3 linked regions of the Sus scrofa genome follow. The protein of the gene in region 3 interacts with the protein of the main gene of each other region in a pairwise test. Links are inferred from orthologs where the notes say so. Each region holds a gene or a part of one and is shown on either strand. Other genes may lie near its edges. The genes, in order: PPP1R3D, PPP1R3C and EPM2A.

Region 1 (6,123 bases), on a different chromosome or scaffold from region 3:
AGGCAGTGCAATTTTCAGAATTAAATGAAATCGCATACATACAGCACCTAGCATTGTAGGCAAGCAGAAAAGAGAGGACACAGTGAGTGGTAATTTCCTTTCCCTGGGTTCAAGGCTTTGCAATTGAGTGAGGGTCACAGTCCTGGGAGAGGCAGATGCACACAAATTATTCCATACATGGGATTCAATAAGTACCAAGTACAATAACTATCCCATCCCCTAAGTGCCCCTAAAGCGTTCCTCATATGTAATACTGATCTGGCATAAAAGAGGGTATTTCAGTTTCTCAAACGCAACTGTGTTTCTGAAGCTGAGGTGCCATCATACAATGTATTTATTTTGGCAAGATGCTTAATGTGACAGCATTTTAGGAAGGATATGCGACCTATGTGTGAAATGATTTAAACAATCGACGTTTCTAAAGCCTTGTTTCAGTAATTAGACCACAAGAAAAACACACTTCAACTAACAACTTGTGCGTATATATACTTTAATATTTAGGCTTAGGTGAAGTCATCTTAAAAGCCAGACATTAAAATATGTTTGGGGAGACAACCCAACAATTGCACAAAATTTGAAAAACCAGGCCACATAAGTGTGTTTTCAGGTCTGAAAATCTCCTTAAGCTGTTCCACTGCTCCTTGATCAACTAGGTAGATATGTTTAAGCTTTAACGTTTTTAAATGTTGATCCTTTTTTTCAAAGGCACGTTGAGGTTCTCTTAATATTGAAGATATAACATTTATTTCATACTCTGTGACCAGAACCTTTTTGACACGTGATCTTCAGGTGGATTATAAGCTTCTCTACATGACTTCACAACACATGCGCCAGCACTAGCTCACACCTGAATGCTCTGGACAAGCGCCTTGCACGCTGGGCCAGGATCCAGGGCACAGCAGCCAAGGCCCTCACAGACTTGCTGACCTAACTGGACAGTTAGTTAAATAGCAGGAAATGGAACCAGGCTTCTCTCCCTCTTGCATGCCAATGTAGTACACAGTGCTAAGAGGCAATGACTGTTCAATTTAGTCACAATATTTCAAATAAAAATTCAGTATTTTTAGACCAGAAGTTACCAAAGAAAGTCATCCCTGTTGTTGGAATCAAAACACAAGTTTCAATTATATATATATATATATATATATATATATATATAATCAGTTAAAAGGCAAAACTCATCCTTTACACCTATTTGCCAAATGGCAACAAGCATTCAAAAATTTAGAGTTAATTCACTGGTGACACCTAACACAACATGGATCACATGGTTTCAACTGTACCAGAAGCCAACTTCCAAGTTGGAAACCGTGTCCATCTTAGCTGGGTTTTCACACCTCAGTGCTAGCACCTGCTGTCAGGACTATCACTCAGGACCCAAAAAATCATGAGCCCCTCCCAGAGAGTTTTAAGTCATTGCGGCACCCTGCAGGGGACAAAGGTTTTGACTTCTTGGTTGAAATTTTTTTTTCCTTTTTTTTTTTTTTTTTTTTTTTTACAAAAAGCATTTAATGTTTTAAAACTGGGAAACAAGTTCAGATAATGTAATAAAATTTTCTATCTGAAGGCACAAAGAATACAGTTGGCAGGTAGCTGGTAAAACCAGGCACATACAAATCTAATTTAAAATGATTAAAAAGCATAAATATTTGTGTATTGTTTTTCCTCCAGTGCTCTGTCTATTGCTGAAAATACCTGCTAGTTCCACTCGGTAACGTGTCTTCTGAAAGATGACTGCTGGAACCTTTGACACTTAAGAAGACATAAACAGAGTCACCTTTTATCATCAAAAAGGTAATTGCAAAGGGCATCCTTGCCTGAAATTCTACAGAGTTGCCTAAAAATTGAAATAACTTAAGGCAGAATTTCTTTAAATGTGTAGGTAGTTCAAACCTATACAGAATGGCCTGATAAAGTGCAGATCATAATTATCAAACACATAACAAGAAAAAATACATTAAGTGAGAGGAGAGACTGCAGAAGGGATATCTTGCTAGTTACAAGTTTTAAACATGTTCCTTCTTCTCGGCTGCTGGTGTAGGAGACACACAGCCTAACCAGGGCAGCCTGAACTCCCAGGAATGGTTGTATGATGACGGATGAAGCATAAATTTCTTGCCTATTAATAGTTTCCCGGCTGTTAGAAGCCTACAGATATTGGCAAGCAAATGTGATCTCGGGTTTTCCGTGTCCCGGGTCGGGAATGCCTTGAGGGACCACGATGGGGTCACACTGTGCATGCTGTTTACAGTGAGCACAAACACACAACCGGACGTTTTCTTAGCTTACTAAATCCAGAATATTCCCGAGAAGGCATCCACTCAGGTAAAAGGTCCCAGCATCACAATGATAACAGTAGCTGCATTCACGGAGATCCAATTAGGACACATGCAAAAGCCACAGGCTTTCCCAGCGGGGAGACGCAGGCCTTTCCAAGAACACCCTGGGATGGGCCGACGCACCCATGCATCTACTCACCCAGCACCCCACCCCAGCACAGGCTCGGCCTTCTGGAACCTGAGGCTACTTTTTAGACCATAAACGTTGCAGGTGGGACAGGACAGGCCACTGCCAGCACACCTTGCAGCGGGAAGTGAGCTTCCAGGAGCTCGGGTTGGGGAAGGGGTGTGAGGGAGGAGCACCACCCGGATGCCAGCGTGCTGCTAGGAAGTGCCCGCCGGGGCGGCCTGCGCGCGGAGGCTCAGATGAAGTGGATCCAGCTCTCCTCGCACTCCCCGCGTGGCATGTGCAGGGCGTGGTTTCGGCACGTGAGGCTGTAGTCTCGGCCGTCGTTGTTGTCCCAGTACTCGGCGCCCGCCACGCGGTAGCGCAGCGCGAAGTGCACGCGGGAGCCGAGCGCTAGCAGGAAGGGTGGGACCGGGAAGCCGAAGGCGAAGACGTCCTCGGCGCCCTCAGCGCCCGCCGGCCCGCGCCACCTCGCCCCCGCCTCGTGCGCACTCTGCCAGTCCGAGAAGGTGTAGCGCACGGCCACCTGCTTCTCGAAGGCCACGTTGCGCACGCGCACGGTACCGCTGATGCCCAGGTCCGAGCAGGTGACGCGCTCCAGGCACACGAGCTGCCGCCCCAGGCGCTCTCCGAAATCCGGGGCCTCGACGGGCGGCGGGAAGTCGGGCACCAGGCACTGCAGGGTGAACTCCAGGTCCTGACTGCTGCAGCACAGGTCCGAGTTGATGGCGAGCCGGGACAGCACGTGCAGGGGCACCGACGGGTCGTCGCCCGCGTTGAACACCTTGACCTGCGCCAGCTCCAGGCCCAGCGCGTCGGCGAAGCGCACGCGGTGCTGCCGGCTGCAGCCCGGCCGGCACGCAGCGCCCGGCGCGCCCGCGCCCTTCTGGCGGCGCTCGGGCGAACTGGGCAGCGAGCGCGCCCGCCGCAGGATGATGGGCCGCAGGCGGGGGTCGCAGCCGGACGGCGGCGTTGGTGGCGGCGGCGCGCGGCCCGGGCTACCGGGGGGCCTGCAGGGCCTCGGCTCCGGGGCCGCACCTCCGTACAGGTCCGAGAGGCAGCTGAGGCTCCGCGGGGCGGGCTTCCGGAACGCCGGGGCGGCGGGGGGGACCGCCGAGCCCGGGTCTCCGGACATGGCCCGGCCGGCCGTCGGGCGATGGGGAGGCGGAACCGAGGGGCAGCCTCCCGACCTCGCGTCCGCTTCCTCGGTGTCCCGGGCCGTGCTCAGCCCCCGGGAGTGTCCGCCGGAACTGCACCCTGCAGGACACCCAGTGGGGCCGCCGCGCCCTCCCCTCGTCGGCCACCTCGCCCCTCGGGTCCTCGCCCAGGTCTTCCGCTTTCGGCAGCAAATAAAGAGCCGGTTTCAGGAGATGAGAGCTTCCTCCGGTGGAAGCCTTTCGGGGCCTCCGCGGAGCGCAGGGTGGCGCCTGCCTTCTGCTTCCTCCGAGGTGCCCGGGCCAAGGCGGTGTCCGCCCAGCGGCCCCTCCCACCCCGGGCCGCGGCGTTACTTACATGGCTGCAACTTGTCGGGAGCAACTTCCCGGCGAGCCTCCGCCCCGCCCCTCGTGACGCCGCCCGCGCGCGGACTCCCGCCGCCCGAGCGCCGCCGCCGCCGCCGCCGCCGCCCGCGCCCCTGCCGCAGCACGCCGCAGTCCGGCCTCCCGCCCAGGCGCAGGGAAGGAAGGCCAGCGGCCTCGTCACGTGTCCCGGGCGATCGCGAAACAGGTCTGGTCAATTTCTGTCTGCGTCTGCCTGGCCCGCGCGCCGATCGATCGTAGATCCGCGTCTGCACAAACAGAGGACGAGGAAAACGCATGCTGCGGATCCTCGGATTTCTGGGTTAATGGGGGCGGGGGAGGGGATGCAAAACCTGGCCTTTCCAGGAGCTGGTCTTCAGGGGGATTTTAAGCCTGGCTGGCCAGTTCTTTGGATATTTGCACTACAACCGGGACCCTCGGCCAGAAGGAGCCTGGCTGCGCACAGAAGGTCCTGTCCCCACGTCACCCACAATGCTTTGCCGCCCGGGACCCGCCAGCCCAATCCCTGGGGTGGGAGGGGGCGGTGCTGCTGCAGTGTCTTGGCCCCCTGCCAGAGAGGAAGATGTGGGAACCAGAGTTCATACCCTGCGGTAAATTATGCAGTTGCCCTTAAGCAGCCTCTAGCCAGAATTTATTTTTGTTGCCAGAATCTCCGACTTACAGCTTTGCGAGCCTGAGCATCCTTAGGGACCCTACGGGCGGTCGTCTCTTCTTTCACTCAGTAACTGCACAGAACAGGCCACAGCAGAGGGTATAAAGCTTGCCAGGTGAAATGATGTGAAGATGGAAGTGCACTTTCTAGAGAGCGTTCTAGCGGCTTCCTGTACTGTCCAGAGGGACAAAGCAGAAAGAAAACCAAACTAATGAAGGAGGGTTGGTAACGAACATTTTCTACATCTAAAACCCATCAAGCCGATGACCGTATAATTCATTCACTGGGAGCACCCACCCGTGATTTTCATTACCATCATATGTGCACGGAGTAAAATGACACACCTGCTTATTTGGGAAAATAATACACCAAAGTTTTAGGAAGTAATTAAAAATCTTCTATAACCCCGCCTCTTTTTTCCATTTTTCAGAGGCAGGGATATTATGGAACAAACACACACGGCTTCACGTTCAAATGGGGTGCTTTTAGTACACCACTCAAAATAAGAGCCCAAGAGCAGCCTTGAGTGGTATGAGTCCATATGATATCATAGTATGTGACATGTAATAAGACACTGGTAACCTTTTCATGGATTGATGTGATAGTGAAGGCTAGAGAACTGAGAGGGAGCCTCCCCGGTAGCACTTAAGCTCCATGAGAGCAGGACCTGTGGGTAACCCTGCTGATTCCTAGGCACTCCTGTAATTATTTGTTGAACCAATGATGGAATGAATGAAGGCATGAATAGATGGATGTGGGAACTTTGGAGTAACACATGGCCCTAATTAGCTCCACGAATTTCCTTAGCAGGTTATTTCCAAAGAGACTGTGTACCTCTGTGTGGGGGGCGGGGGGAGATGGATTCCATTTATAGTCCGTGTGATCTTGTATCTGCAACCACTGTGAAAAACAAACAAGCAAAAAAAAGATGGAACTGTAAATAGAAGGCAATATCCCTCCACCAGTTTTCCAGTACAATTTGAATCTTTGGAAACAAACAAGTAAAACCCAACACAGTACTGATGATAAGACCCTTTGCAATCAGTACTTACCGACACTGTCTGTTGCTTCTAGTTCCGGTGGTGAGGCGTCCTTTCCAAATATAAGAGGAATAAAGAAGTCACTTCCTCAGCTGTCATCATCTTCCAACAGATTGAGCAAGAATATTTCGAGCACTGCAGAAAAGGTGATGCAGAACTTTGAAGTAAAATCTTCCTCAGATGTGTTGTTTCTGTTTGTTTGCTGTGTGTGTGTGTGTGTGCGCGCTCGGGGTATTTATGACCACATGTCTGTTTTTTAGACAGTCCGTCAAACCCTAGATGATGATCAGCCGTGTTATTTTTTCAAGAGAGGGAGTAGGGTGAATGAATCTTATCAGAAAAGCAGGTAAATAGTTTTTTCATATAATTGCTTTATCTTGCAAAAGGCACACTATCTCACTTCTCCCAGACGGAGTATGTGTGGTTG
Region 2 (5,974 bases), on a different chromosome or scaffold from region 3:
GCAGGAACAAAGTATTACTTTTATAAAAATTGGGTTTCCAGGCTGTCACCGGAGCCTCCACAGCCAAACTGGGCAGCAGCATCGATCCAGACCCCACACTGAATTCTCCAGGGGCTATCTTCTTTGTAGTCAGGTCTCCAAAGCTCAAACCTAAACCTACGGAAAGAAAGTAGCAACGACTTCCTAATATTGAGCAATATAGACCTAGATGTACATGGGGAATAAGGTCAAGACCGGTCACTGGATTGCTTCGTTCACCGATAAGAGGCCAAGTTCTCCACCCTCCCCCAGCTCTGCCACTCTGGGAAGAGCCCACTGGCCAGCCTTGGGCTGCCAAAGACTGGCGACTCCAACTCGGCCTTGGGGGGCGCCCGGTGGTATGCAGAGTCCTGGGATGCCATCTGAGTCTGCACTCCGTCAGGTTTCCACTGTGCATGGACAATTCTATAATTCTGACCCTCGTTATTGTCCCAGAAGACCTGCCCGTTGGCATGGTACGAGATGCAGAACTCAATTTTCTCCTTTGTTGGGATCACAGCGGGTAGGTCAATGGCAAACGAGAAAGTGTCACTCTCTGAGCCACCGTACATATTCTTCATGTAGACGCAGTCCACGTCGGTGTAGTTCTGCCAGGTATCAAAAGTGATCCGGATCTGAACCTTCTTCTCAAAGCTCACATTTTTCACCTTCACAGTCCCCGTCACCATTCGCTCTTGCAAAGAGCAGTTCTCCAGGCAGACAAAGTTCTTCTGGAAGTGGTTTCGAAAACTTAAGTAATCAGCTGAGGGCTGAGGGAAATCTAAAATCAAGTTCTTCTCTTCGTGGCGTTTTAAGCCCGAGGAGATATCATTAAGGTCCAAGAGGTCAAACTGGAGATCCCACACTGGCTCTTCCGGGAGGTCTGAGAAGACGTGAATGGCGGTGAGGGAGAGGCCCTTGGAGTCAGCGAACACCACCCGCTTCTTGGCTTGGTTGTGCGAAGGCTTCCAATCATTCTGTGATTTGGCTTCCTGTTTCATGTTGAGACACGGCTTCAGAGGCTTTAATTTGTTCACAAAATTTCTTCGTTGGAAGTCATCATAAGGGCCCAGGAAACTCTTCAGAGGTGGTGAGTGAGCCAAGCAGAGTCTCATGGCCACATCCACGGGCATGACTGAACTTGTCAAAGGCCGTGGATCTAAAACCTGGATCATTCTGGAATACAAAAAGAAGAGGGGTTACTATCTGGACCTGGAATGCACTTGCCCCGGGCCCAGATATGCATGTACTATTTTTGTACTGGTGAAATTCTAGCCAGCACAGTAACAAGGAGGTGCTATCTCGTGTAGGAAAGGAACACAGTACGAAGGGATGAGAGCTGAATTTTATGTTTGGCTCTACCCCTCACTGGCTCAAGGCCATGGGTTAACTGCTTAAAAGAGCTGGGGTCTCAGTTTCCCCATTTGAGAAACCAAAGTTTTGGGTGGGATCGCCTCTAACACAGCTCTAAGACTATTTTCTTTGCTCTGGACCAGTGGTTCTCAAACCTGTCTGGTCACAATGGCCTAAGGAGTTGATTTTCTTCCTTTTTCTTTAATGCAGAATCTTGGGGCTTAATGCCATTAATGCAGAACCTCTGGGGATGGGGACAAGGGGGTATATATTTTCTTAAAGCTTCTCGGGTGATCTAGTGACCAGATAGGTTCTAGAACCATAGTTCCAGACCATGTTCCCTTGGCTTTTGATCATTTTGCTATTGAATTGATTACACTTCTCTGGCACAGTCATCTGCCTGAAAAGAGAAAAAGAGCAGTAAAAATTCTCATGGAATAGTTTTGAGAGTGAGAGGCTAGAAAGAGTGAATCAGAGGATTACCATTGCACTTTCATTATCATGCTCTTCCTCATTTTACATAGATAACTAGCTCAAGGGCAAGTCAGCAATTTGTGCACTTAAGGAAAAAACTTTATATAATCTGTATTTCACACAGAAAGACACCCATGTCAAGTCCACATATAAGAGGAAAAAAACCTGGTGACCTGAAAATTAGGCCGTTTTTAATATATGCCATATATGTGAACTTACACATATTGAAAAGTTTAATAGGAAACATAAAAAAAAAGTTCATTATCTCTGGGTGATATATGACCTGTTTTTACCTTTGTACTTTTTTGGTATTTTCCAATGTTTTGGCAATGGCTATTTATAACCAGAAAGATAAAATTATTTAAAAATTTAAACAAAAACTATTTAAAAATTTAAACTATTCTAAAGAAGTGTCCATCAAGAAGAGTATTTTTTCTGGCCTTTAGCCCTGAGAATATATTGCCAAGCTTATGGACATTTTTTACCTTCAGATAAGAGGTGCATGGATATTATGTGACTTCAATCTGGCTTTAGTAAGCCAGCAGCAGTTCTAAGCATATAGGCAAATGGTCTCGGTCATAAAATGGATAATAAAAGAACACTCAGAGAATTTACTTTATTAATCCTGGGTTTTTTTCTGGGAGACCTACAAACTTAGAACAAACAAATGAAAGAGGAAAGCTACATTTGTGGGTCTAATAATAGTTAACAGGCAGGATTTTTAGAGAAGTCTTCTGCTAAGTTATGCCTGGAGAAGCTATTTAAATAGTTTGAGGGAGGTTTTTTCCTGTCTTTCTTTCTTTCGGGGATCCTGTTTCGTATTTTCACTTTTTGCACCTATAGAAAGACAGTTTTTGAATATGGCGATTTCTCTGAAACTTTAAGTCCTACTCAAGAGTTAAAAAAAATAATCATTTGCTCACACTCTGAGGCCGAGTTTGCTATGGCAAACCGTCATAAGAAGAGCTGAACACCCAGGAGTGCAAACATCGTCCTGCAGTTTTTCCCCAAAGCTAAACAATCCAACCAGCAGTCTCAGAGCGCTGTACCCACGAGCTAAGCTGTCCTAGTCCTTGAGGCATTTGTGCGGGACAAAAAAGATGCGGTCAGAATCCCTTACGGAATCTGAACTAAAGCTGACTCACGTTAGGACAGTTTCTGGTTTAAGATGCCATTTACCAACACCAGCTCTGCCTAAAAAGCACATGGGAAATCTCCACTCCTTGGAGTTATCCCCGGTGCCAGCAGTCAGTCTACTTGCCCTCTCCTGGGTTCTCCATTTGCAGTGATGACGGAAGGAAAACGCAGCCCAACCTCCCCCCAGCTGCGCGCTCTCTCGGAGCCCAGGCGGAGAGTCTGCAGGGAACCTACCTGGTGCAGCTCATCAGGCAGAGGGGCGGCGGCACTCCACTACCTGCGTAATTTCGCACCAGGCTCCCCGCGGTACCCACTGGGCGGCAGCTCTGGCGGATTGTGGGTGCGGCGCCCGAGAGGCCGCTTATCTGCTCCCGACCACGTGAGCCAACGGCTGGGACCAATCACCAGGCCGCGAGCTCGAGGGCGCGACCAACCAGCGTTCAGCTGGGACTCGAGCCCCGGCCCCGTGGACGTGACTGCGGTAGTGCGGGAAGCGCGGGCGCCGGGGTACCCCTGGGACAGCTGGCCCGAGCCGCGTAACGCGAACCCCGGGCGAGGGGCCGCGGAGGCAACCCCGTGGCGCACGTAGCGGGTGCAAGCCAGAAGAGAAAGCCCTAAACCCTCCCCCGGGCCGGGCGCCAGCACCGCGGGACTGCGGCGCAAAGAGATCCCTTTCGCTTCTAAAGGCTTCTGTGCACGGTAAAATCTTAGTGCAGAACGTTGTGGCTCGTTCCAAATGCATTTGTATTTGAAATTTTTATCTTGTTCATTGCTTGGTGCATCAGCTCATCTTCTCCCTCTCCTTGGCCTGAGCAGTCGGTCACATCTTGGTGTTAACGTGAACCCACAAATAGACTGCCTATCTAACCAGTGTTAATAAACCATATTAACCCTATAAGACAGTAAGGCAGCATTTAATTAAAAGACACTTTGTATTGCGACCATTTCTTCAGTTTTTCTCCCTGGAAGAGAAAACTAAAGCCAGGAATGAAATGGCTTTCTTTTTCGCTCATGCGGCCAGTCAGCCACAAAACCAGTGGTCAATCCAAATCCCTCAATTCTGTTCTGATGTCCTCTGGCAGTGATGTGAAAACCAAAATGTTAAAATATCACACTGCGAGTTTCATGACTCTCCCAAGCCAATTACCCTCTCTGAGGTTTCGTAATTTTGTTTAGTTTGGGGGGGTTTTCGACCATCAGTTACAACCATAAAATTGTATTTCTAAGTCGAGTTTAAATTATTTTTATAAAACCCCTGTCCTTTTTCTGCTCTCTTAGTTATCCAGTAGTCCTCTAAAATGTACAAAATGTACAATGTAAAATGTACAAAAATCTCTGTGTCTTTTAAATCACTCTCAAACAGTAGAATTGTTAGTGGAGTTATTAAAGAAAAGGAAACTCATGCTAAATAGCCCTGGGGAAGGTACTTAATGCTTGGGCTTGATTTTTTTTGAAAGGAAACATCCACCTCAGAGCAGATCTGCTGGCCTCTCAGCCCAACCAAAACTAACTGAAGGGACACGGTCTTTGACACTGGAGTCTAGGCAAGTTCTAGCATCAACTCCTTCACCTGTAAAATGGAGATAGTGAAGTTGTTCTGATAATTAAATGAAATTGTATGGGTGGGAAAACTCAGCATAGTGACTGGTGTGTGTTCAACCTGTGGTGGCTCTCAAGTAAGTGCCCTTGCCTTCAGTTTTAGTTTTTACTCTGCTAACATTTCCTTTAAGTACTTCTCAATGATTAGAATGGTAAAAAAAGGAAGGCACCTTAGGTATCACTGGCTTCAGAGGCTTTATTTCACAGATGAGGCATCTAAAGCTTAGAGAAGCTGAGCTGCTTGCCAGGGGCTGGTTAGGTCAGAGTCAAAACTAGGACACTGAGTTGAGGTTTTTTCTCCTCTACTCACAATCCTATGTTGAGCTAAAGAGTGGCTATTACGAATTAAAGTTATGGGGAAACATAAAGTAAGAATGTGTTGTGATCCTGGAGTTCCTGTCATGGCACAGTGGAAATGAGTCTGAGTAGGAACCATGAGGTTGTGGGTTCGATCCCTGGCCTCACTTCGTGGATTGGGGGTCCCGCATTGCCATGAGCTGTGGTGTAGGTCACAGACGCGGCTCAGATCTGGTGTTGCTGTGGCTCTGGCATAGGCAGCAGCAACAGCTCCAATTAGACCTCTAGCCTGGGAATCTCCATATGCCACCAGTACAGCCCCCTAAAGACAAAAAAACAAACAAAAAAAAAAGTATTGTGATCTTGTTTTAGTGGTAAGATGTGCACACATAGAAAATAGAATATGCTCTACCAAAACGTTAACAGTGCTTACTTTTGGATGGTGAGATTTTGAGTAAGTAAATTTTTCTTTGTTATTTTGTTTTTTGTCTTTTTAAATTTTTCTACAATGAACATGGACTTCTTCTGTAGTTGAGAAACCACTTTTAAATAACTTAAGACTTTCCAATTCCAGGAACGGTATTGGAAGCTTTCACATGCTTCCTGCCTTGACTCACAGAGACCTTTTGAGTTTGGGCTTCTTTCCATTCAAGCTGCTATCTCTTCTGCCCCCTGGTGCTGACTAATGCCATAAAAGTCACCTCTCCAAACTCAAAATAGAATTCAGGGGAACAGGGCTCTTTCCAAGAAAGGGCGAGCCTCAATAAATTGCATGATACAGACCTCTCATTTCTTCCCCACTCCCCCCCCGCAGATTTATTGAGATGTAATTGCCATATGACATTATGTAAGTTTATAATGTACAAGGAATTGATTTGGTACGCTTACATATTGCAAAATGATTACAACCACAGTGCTGGCTAAAGCCTCCATCACGTCATATAATTATCATTTCTTTTCTGTGGTGCAAACATTTAAGGTATACTCTCTCAGCAGCTTCCAAGTGTATAATACAGTATTATTAACCATGTTGCAATTAGAGCACTTGAACTTTGTACTCTTGGTACCGCATTGCCCCACTCCACCCCCAACCCCT
Region 3 (6,139 bases):
CAAGTCATATGAACAAAAAAAGACTCAGATATATCCTAATAAAATAACGTAAGGAAAAATTGTAAAGCTCCAAAGAGAGGAAAAAATTGCCTACAAAGAAATGGGCTTAATTTGACATCATAATTATCAACTTCAAGGGAAGCTAGACAGTACTGAGGTAGTGCCTTCAAAGGGAAAATTATTTTGTGACTAGAATACTCTATCAAATGATTAATCAAGTGTGAGAGCAAAATAAAGGCCTTTTCAGGCACTTAAGGACTCAGATATTTTATCTCCCACTTACTGTTTCTTTGAAATTATTTGAGGATAAAATCCAATGAAATTACTAAGATATTCAAGAAAGCAGATAAAGAATAAAATAATGCAACAGAGGAGTTCTATTAAAAACAACAATTATAAAAGCCCAGATAGCTGTGCTCAGAAATCTATATATTAATGAACATTAGAACAAAAATTCCAATCCTTCAAGGAAAAGAAGGTTTTCAAAAAGCAAGGAATTTGTATTCATCAAATACTGAAATTCAGCTAGGAAATTTTGAGGACCATTGTGCTGTTTCTGTTTTTTAAAAATGTAACTAGAGGAGTTCCCGTCGTGACTTAGCGGAAGGGAATCTGACTAGTATCCATGAGGATACAGGTTCGATCCCTGGCCTCTCTCAGTGGGTGAGGGATCCAGCGTTGCCATGAGCTGTGGTGTAGGTCACAGATGTGGCTTGAATCTGGTGTTGCTGTGGCTGTGGTGTAAGCCAGCAGCTACAGGTCGAATTCGACCTCTAGCCTGGGAACCTCCATATGCCACGAGTGAGGACCTAAAAAGACAAAAAAAAAAAAAAAAGTAACTAGAAATTTAAAAACAAGGCATAGAAGAACATCACCACCTAAATATAATGTAAAATGAACTCTGGCATTATTTTAAATAAAATTCAAGCATGATTTATAGTGTAAGGGAATTATTGTTATTTTTGCTATTATGATTAGGAAATAATTACTACAACATCATGTTGTGCAAATAGACTCATAAAAAAGGAAATATAATTCTGTGATATGAAACCTGTGTACCAGAAGGAAAGGCTCTCATCCCTCACACTATAAATCATGCTCAATTTAAAAAAAACAAACTAACACTTATTAAACACTTAATGTATGTCCTATTCTAAGTTCGTAAGATTTATTAGCCAGTCTAGTCCTTTCAACAACAGCACGACAGTGTTAAGTGACTTGCCCAAGGTCACACCCTTGGTAAAGTTAGGCTTTCTGGCTCTAGAATCCTTGCTCTTAAACATTGGCTCTGCCAATTCTCATAATGCTCTTTGTTAACGCACAATTCTCATAAACCTACCAACCTAAAACAAGAATTCTTAGTAACCTTTGTAAAATAGAATATAAATGATGTAGAAATTAATGTAGAAATAATGATTAACCAAAGTAAGAAAAGCAATGTGTAGATGGGCTATTTTCCTTATTCTTTTATATAGGAGTAACTTTCTAGATAATGGAAGTATAACAGAATTTTCTAGATAATGAAAAGTCAAAAGTCAACTACATATATATAATTTCAAATAATAATATAACCCAGCAGGGAGGAGAGAGAGAATGCACTTCAGCTAAATTCCTCATTTCCTAGCAATTATGGTGGTTACCTAGAAGAGTACACAGTAGCTGTCAACAGATATCGCCTAATTTTAATCAACATATAACATACAAGTTATATGGTAGCTCTCAGAAAACCTAAAACCAAAAGAAATTAAAGATGATATATTCAGAAATAGCGACCTAAGCAAATTATTCAGCATTTCGGGAGGAATATCAGAAAAACTAAACATAGAAAAGGAAGGGGACTGGGGAAAGGGAAGATCTTTGTTTTTAACCATCTTAAGCTTTTTGTTTGGCTGGTTGGTTGTTTTGTTTTGGTTTTGTTTTTTAGGGCTGCACCTGCGGCCTATGGAAGTTCCCAGGCTAGGGGTGGAGTTACTACACCACAGCCACAGGGGATCCGCTTCCGTGACCTACACCACAGCTCATGGAAACACCAGACCGCTGAACCACTGAGCAAGGCCAGAGATGGAACCTGCATCCTCATGGATACTAGTCAGATTCGTTTCTGCTGTGCCACAACGGGGAACTCCTATTTTAATTTTTATTAAAATGATTAGGTATTACTTTATTATGAAAGACAATTTCATAATGGTATTATAAACATAATACATTATTAATATAATAGTAATATCATATAAAGAAGGGCATAACCAATGAGAGTATCTGTCGCTTCTGGCATGGTAATACAAAAGGACAGTAAATGCCACCAGACCATAAAACTCAGTGCGGGCACGAAGAGAGGAACAAGTATAATACATAAACATACTACAGAACACTCATGCTCTTTGCTGATTCTTTGTTCCCACATCATTATGGACTAAATGGCCGCTTTTATCACATAAACTTCTAGAGACATTTCATCTGCTGTACACAACTACTGAGCCATAAACATTCAAATCCCCTACTTTGAACATTTAAAGAAATGGGTGTGGGTGGGGTCTAAATTCATACATCGCGGGCAGGCGTCTACATGGGCATAACCTTTTTCACGGACTAACCTGGTAGTCCGTATCGAAATGGTTACACGTTGACCTAACAATTTCACTTCTCAGAATCTACCCTAGAGCGACTTGCCCAAATACTCAAAAATAACTCTATACACGGACTTTCAATTAAGCTATTACTGTTTATCACAGAGGAAAACGGAAAACAACCTAAATGCACATCGGAAGATGCAGGATATTTTGTTGCCATTTTAAAAATTAAATAATATCTATATGGAGTGACACTAAAAGGTACAACGCGTTGTTGAGCAAGAAAAAGCAAGACAGAGAATCGTAAGTTATACAATTTGTGCGTGAAACATAAATCCACACTGTTCAGCGGGTTTAGGGTATGCGGAGGAAACAAGTTTTTTACTTTGTACATGTAAATTTTTACTTTGTTTTCTTACAGCCAGCATGCACTGTTTTTATATTTTAAGAAACCAGAGCATATCTCAACTGTCAAATGAGATTTTAAAAACATCCAAAAAGAGAAAGGCTCAACGTCTTTCCATTAGCTCACTCTCAAATTTAAGGGGTGGGGGGAGTAGCATGTTGCTGTTTAGGGCTAGTGGAAAGGCTAGCTTCACTGATGAGGTCATTTGTGAGTGAATTAGGGCAAGAAAATGAGGGCACAGAGACAAGGCGGAGTTGAGGAGCGAACCCAGGAGCAGCCGGGGTTCAAGCAGCCCAGGGACCGGCCCAGAGAGGACGCGGAGGGAGCAGCGGGGCCGAGGCCCGGGCTGCGGGGTCCGGGCAGTGTGGGAAGGAGATCAGAGGGGCAAAGATCGAGGGGCGGGAGGCCAGAAACACAACCTCAGCCCAGGGAATCGGTCGGGAGCTGGCGGCGACAGCTGGGCGGGCAGAGAAGGGTCAGCCCGGGGCGCCCGGGAAGTTCTGGCGACTAGCGAAGCCCGAGAGCCGGGCAAGTGCCCAGGAGGCCGCAGCAGGGACTGTGGGGCTTGCCCCAGGCCGAGGCTGAGGCTGGGGTGCAGGTCGACTTAGCGCCCAGTACCTTCCCAGGAGAGCGCTCCTCCCTGCTCGCGCTTCAGGAACTTGTACCAGAACGTGTCCACGCGGCCCGGCTCCGCCCCGTCCTGCGCCGCCTCCAGCTCCACCTCCCCGAGCCACAGGCCCGGCTCCTGCAGCGCCAGCGCCCCCGGGCCCGCCGCGGTACCCGCCGGCCTCAGGCGCACGGCCCCGCACGGCTCCCAGTGCCCCAGCTCCGGCCGAGAGCCCACGACCAGCAGCTCCGGCCCGGGCCCGGCTACCGCGGGCGGCACCACCACCCCGAAGCGGAACCGCATGGCGGCGGGCGGGCGGCGCGGCTCCAGGTCCCAGTGCCCCTGTGACCCGCGGACGCGGCGATTGGGCGGCGGCGCGCGAGGCCTGGACGCGAGAGGATCGGGCGCCGGCGGGGACACGTGCGATGCTGCACCTTTTTTGGGCTGCATCACGCGGCTCAGGAGCCCGGGCCTGGTCCAGGCGGGAGCCTCGCCACCCGCCTCTCTGGGAGAAGGAGGCTGGCTCCCGTCCGCTGCCTCTTCCACCGGCTCCAAGGGCGCCTGGGGACGCGGCGAAAGCAAGGAGAACGGGGTTGGAAAAGGAAACATCTCATAAGCCTTGAGATTTTCCAATCATCTTTCCAAAGACTCGAAATTATCATTGTGAGGACCTTAAGACAAAGTGAATGGCATGTAGAAAGCAACCTCCACAGTAGTGAAGTTGGTTTAAGATCCTGCATCTGTATCTGGAGAGCTTTGCACCTTACACGGGTCACTTTCTCTCTCTGGGTCTCAGTCTTATCTGTAAACTGAAGGTATTAAATAATGATTTCTAAAGACCCTGTCAGCTCTAAAGATTGCTTGACTGGTGGAAGGGGCGCCATTCAGAACCAAGAGCTGATACAAAAACACAGTATTTTCCCTTGCCAGGACCAGTGTGATGCCTGACACGACACATGATCACTTTCTTTTTTGGAAAAACTATTAGGGGTATTTGTAGTAGGTGTAAAGTGGATTTAGAGTAAGAATGTTCAAGCCTTTCCAAGGTAAAACAAAACCAAAAAAAATGGTAATTCTGTGGCCATAAATATAAATGACTTCATAATTTTTAAATGGCATAACATAAAACTTTTTGCTCTCAGTAAAAGTCAGCATCTTTCTTTTCAACTTAAAACTTTTGTGTGCCCAGAAAACACAGGCTTATAGCTATTCGGTCAAATGAAAACTATATGGAGTGGGGGACTTAGGGGGGTGCCCTTTAATTTTTGTCACTGCCTTAAGAAAACCAACTGTCCTGTTTACTTGTTACTTTTTAATTCTTTATTAAAGTTGCTCTTGTGGTCGCCTTAACATTTCTGTGTTTACCAGGGCTTAACTCTCTTTTGCGAACTAAAGATACACAGAGATACTTTTTTTCCAGTATTTGAAGGCTTGTGAATAGTGGGGGGGGGCACCAAACTTTCATGCATTCATAAATAAAACAGAAAGAAGTACCAAAATGTAAGCCATACAAACTCAGTCTCTCTGTGGAACAATTAGTAAACTATTAATACATTTCACTTCTAAATATTGATAATTCCACTCTGTGTTTGGTTAGTTGCTAAGCTTAAGGATAAGCACAAAGAAAAATGAGGCCGGCAGGGCTGGCCAAGTACAGCTGATTCAATAGCAAAGCAGACATTAAATCACAGTGGAAAGTGAGTCAGTTTATTCAGACTACTATTTCAAAATATTCTCACAGTAATTTTAGAAAAGTAAGAGTCCTTTGGCCACGCAAGTGCCCTGGAAGCTGACAGTACAGAACTTTCTTGTGTTCTACCATGCTGCCTGTGTTGTGTACTTTTCAAATGGCATTATTCCCACCAGCTCTTCCAAGGGGAGTACTGCCTATTCTGCAGATGAAACAATAACAAATCCCCCAAAAATATATTTGTTCAACAGACATTATTTCCTTTTCTCCTTTCCCCTCATAAAGAGGTTGAGTAATTTTTTTTTTTTTTTTTTTTTTTTTTTGTCTTTTTGCTATTTCTTTGGGCTGATCCCGCGGCATATGGAGGTTCCCAGGCTAGGGGTCTAATCGGAGCTGTAGCCACCGGCCTAGGCCAGAGCCACAGCAACACGGGATCCGAGCCGCGTCTGCAACCTACACCACAGCTCAGCGCAACGCCGGATCGGTAACCCACTGAGCAAGGGCAGGGACCAAACCCGCAACCTCATGGTTCCTAGTCGGATTCGTTAACCACTGCGCCACGAACTCCAGGTTGAGTAATTTTAACAGTTGAAAGCACTCTTTTAAACCCCTAGACAAAATATATGGGCTTATTTTATTGCATGGATTTAAATATAATACAAATGTGCTGACTACTTTGTGCCCCAAGCAAAATGCAATTGGAAAGAGAAAAATATCAAAATATGGATTAAAAGATATTTCAAAGTCAATTGTACTTGGTCAATTATTTGAAATCACTAACCATAATAATTAAAATAGCTACTGAGCTCTTTTAATGTGCCAGACAAATGGTTTTCATATTCACATTACCTCATTTTTCTCTCACC

The links.
Region 1: the proteins of EPM2A (region 3) and PPP1R3D interact in a two-hybrid assay, tested with the Homo sapiens proteins (2 studies listed by BioGRID, with this or other methods). The link is inferred for Sus scrofa from reciprocal best matches to the Homo sapiens genes EPM2A and PPP1R3D.
Region 2: the proteins of EPM2A (region 3) and PPP1R3C interact in binary tests that used the Homo sapiens proteins (3 or more experiments, as listed by UniProt). The link is inferred for Sus scrofa from reciprocal best matches to the Homo sapiens genes EPM2A and PPP1R3C.

What each region holds. Positions count from the first base shown.
Region 1 is NC_010459.5:59,963,087-59,969,209, forward strand, and holds PPP1R3D (protein phosphatase 1 regulatory subunit 3D), read right to left. Parts: upstream 3,623-6,123; 5' UTR 3,602-3,622; coding exon 2,702-3,601; 3' UTR 474-2,701; downstream 1-473. Other genes in the region: protein FAM217B, read left to right, coding at 3,623-4,191, 5,731-5,842, 5,957-6,042. UniProt on the Homo sapiens protein: Seems to act as a glycogen-targeting subunit for PP1. PP1 is essential for cell division, and participates in the regulation of glycogen metabolism, muscle contractility and protein synthesis.
Region 2 is NC_010456.5:103,274,664-103,280,637, forward strand, and holds the start of PPP1R3C (protein phosphatase 1 regulatory subunit 3C), read right to left. Parts: upstream 4,095-5,974; 5' UTR 3,231-4,094; coding exon 3,217-3,230; intron 1,195-3,216; coding exon 255-1,194; 3' UTR 1-254.
Region 3 is NC_010443.5:19,804,528-19,810,666, reverse strand, and holds the start of EPM2A (laforin), read right to left. Parts: upstream 3,887-6,139; coding exon 3,595-3,886; intron 1-3,594. UniProt on the Homo sapiens protein: Plays an important role in preventing glycogen hyperphosphorylation and the formation of insoluble aggregates, via its activity as glycogen phosphatase, and by promoting the ubiquitination of proteins involved in glycogen metabolism via its interaction with the E3 ubiquitin ligase NHLRC1/malin.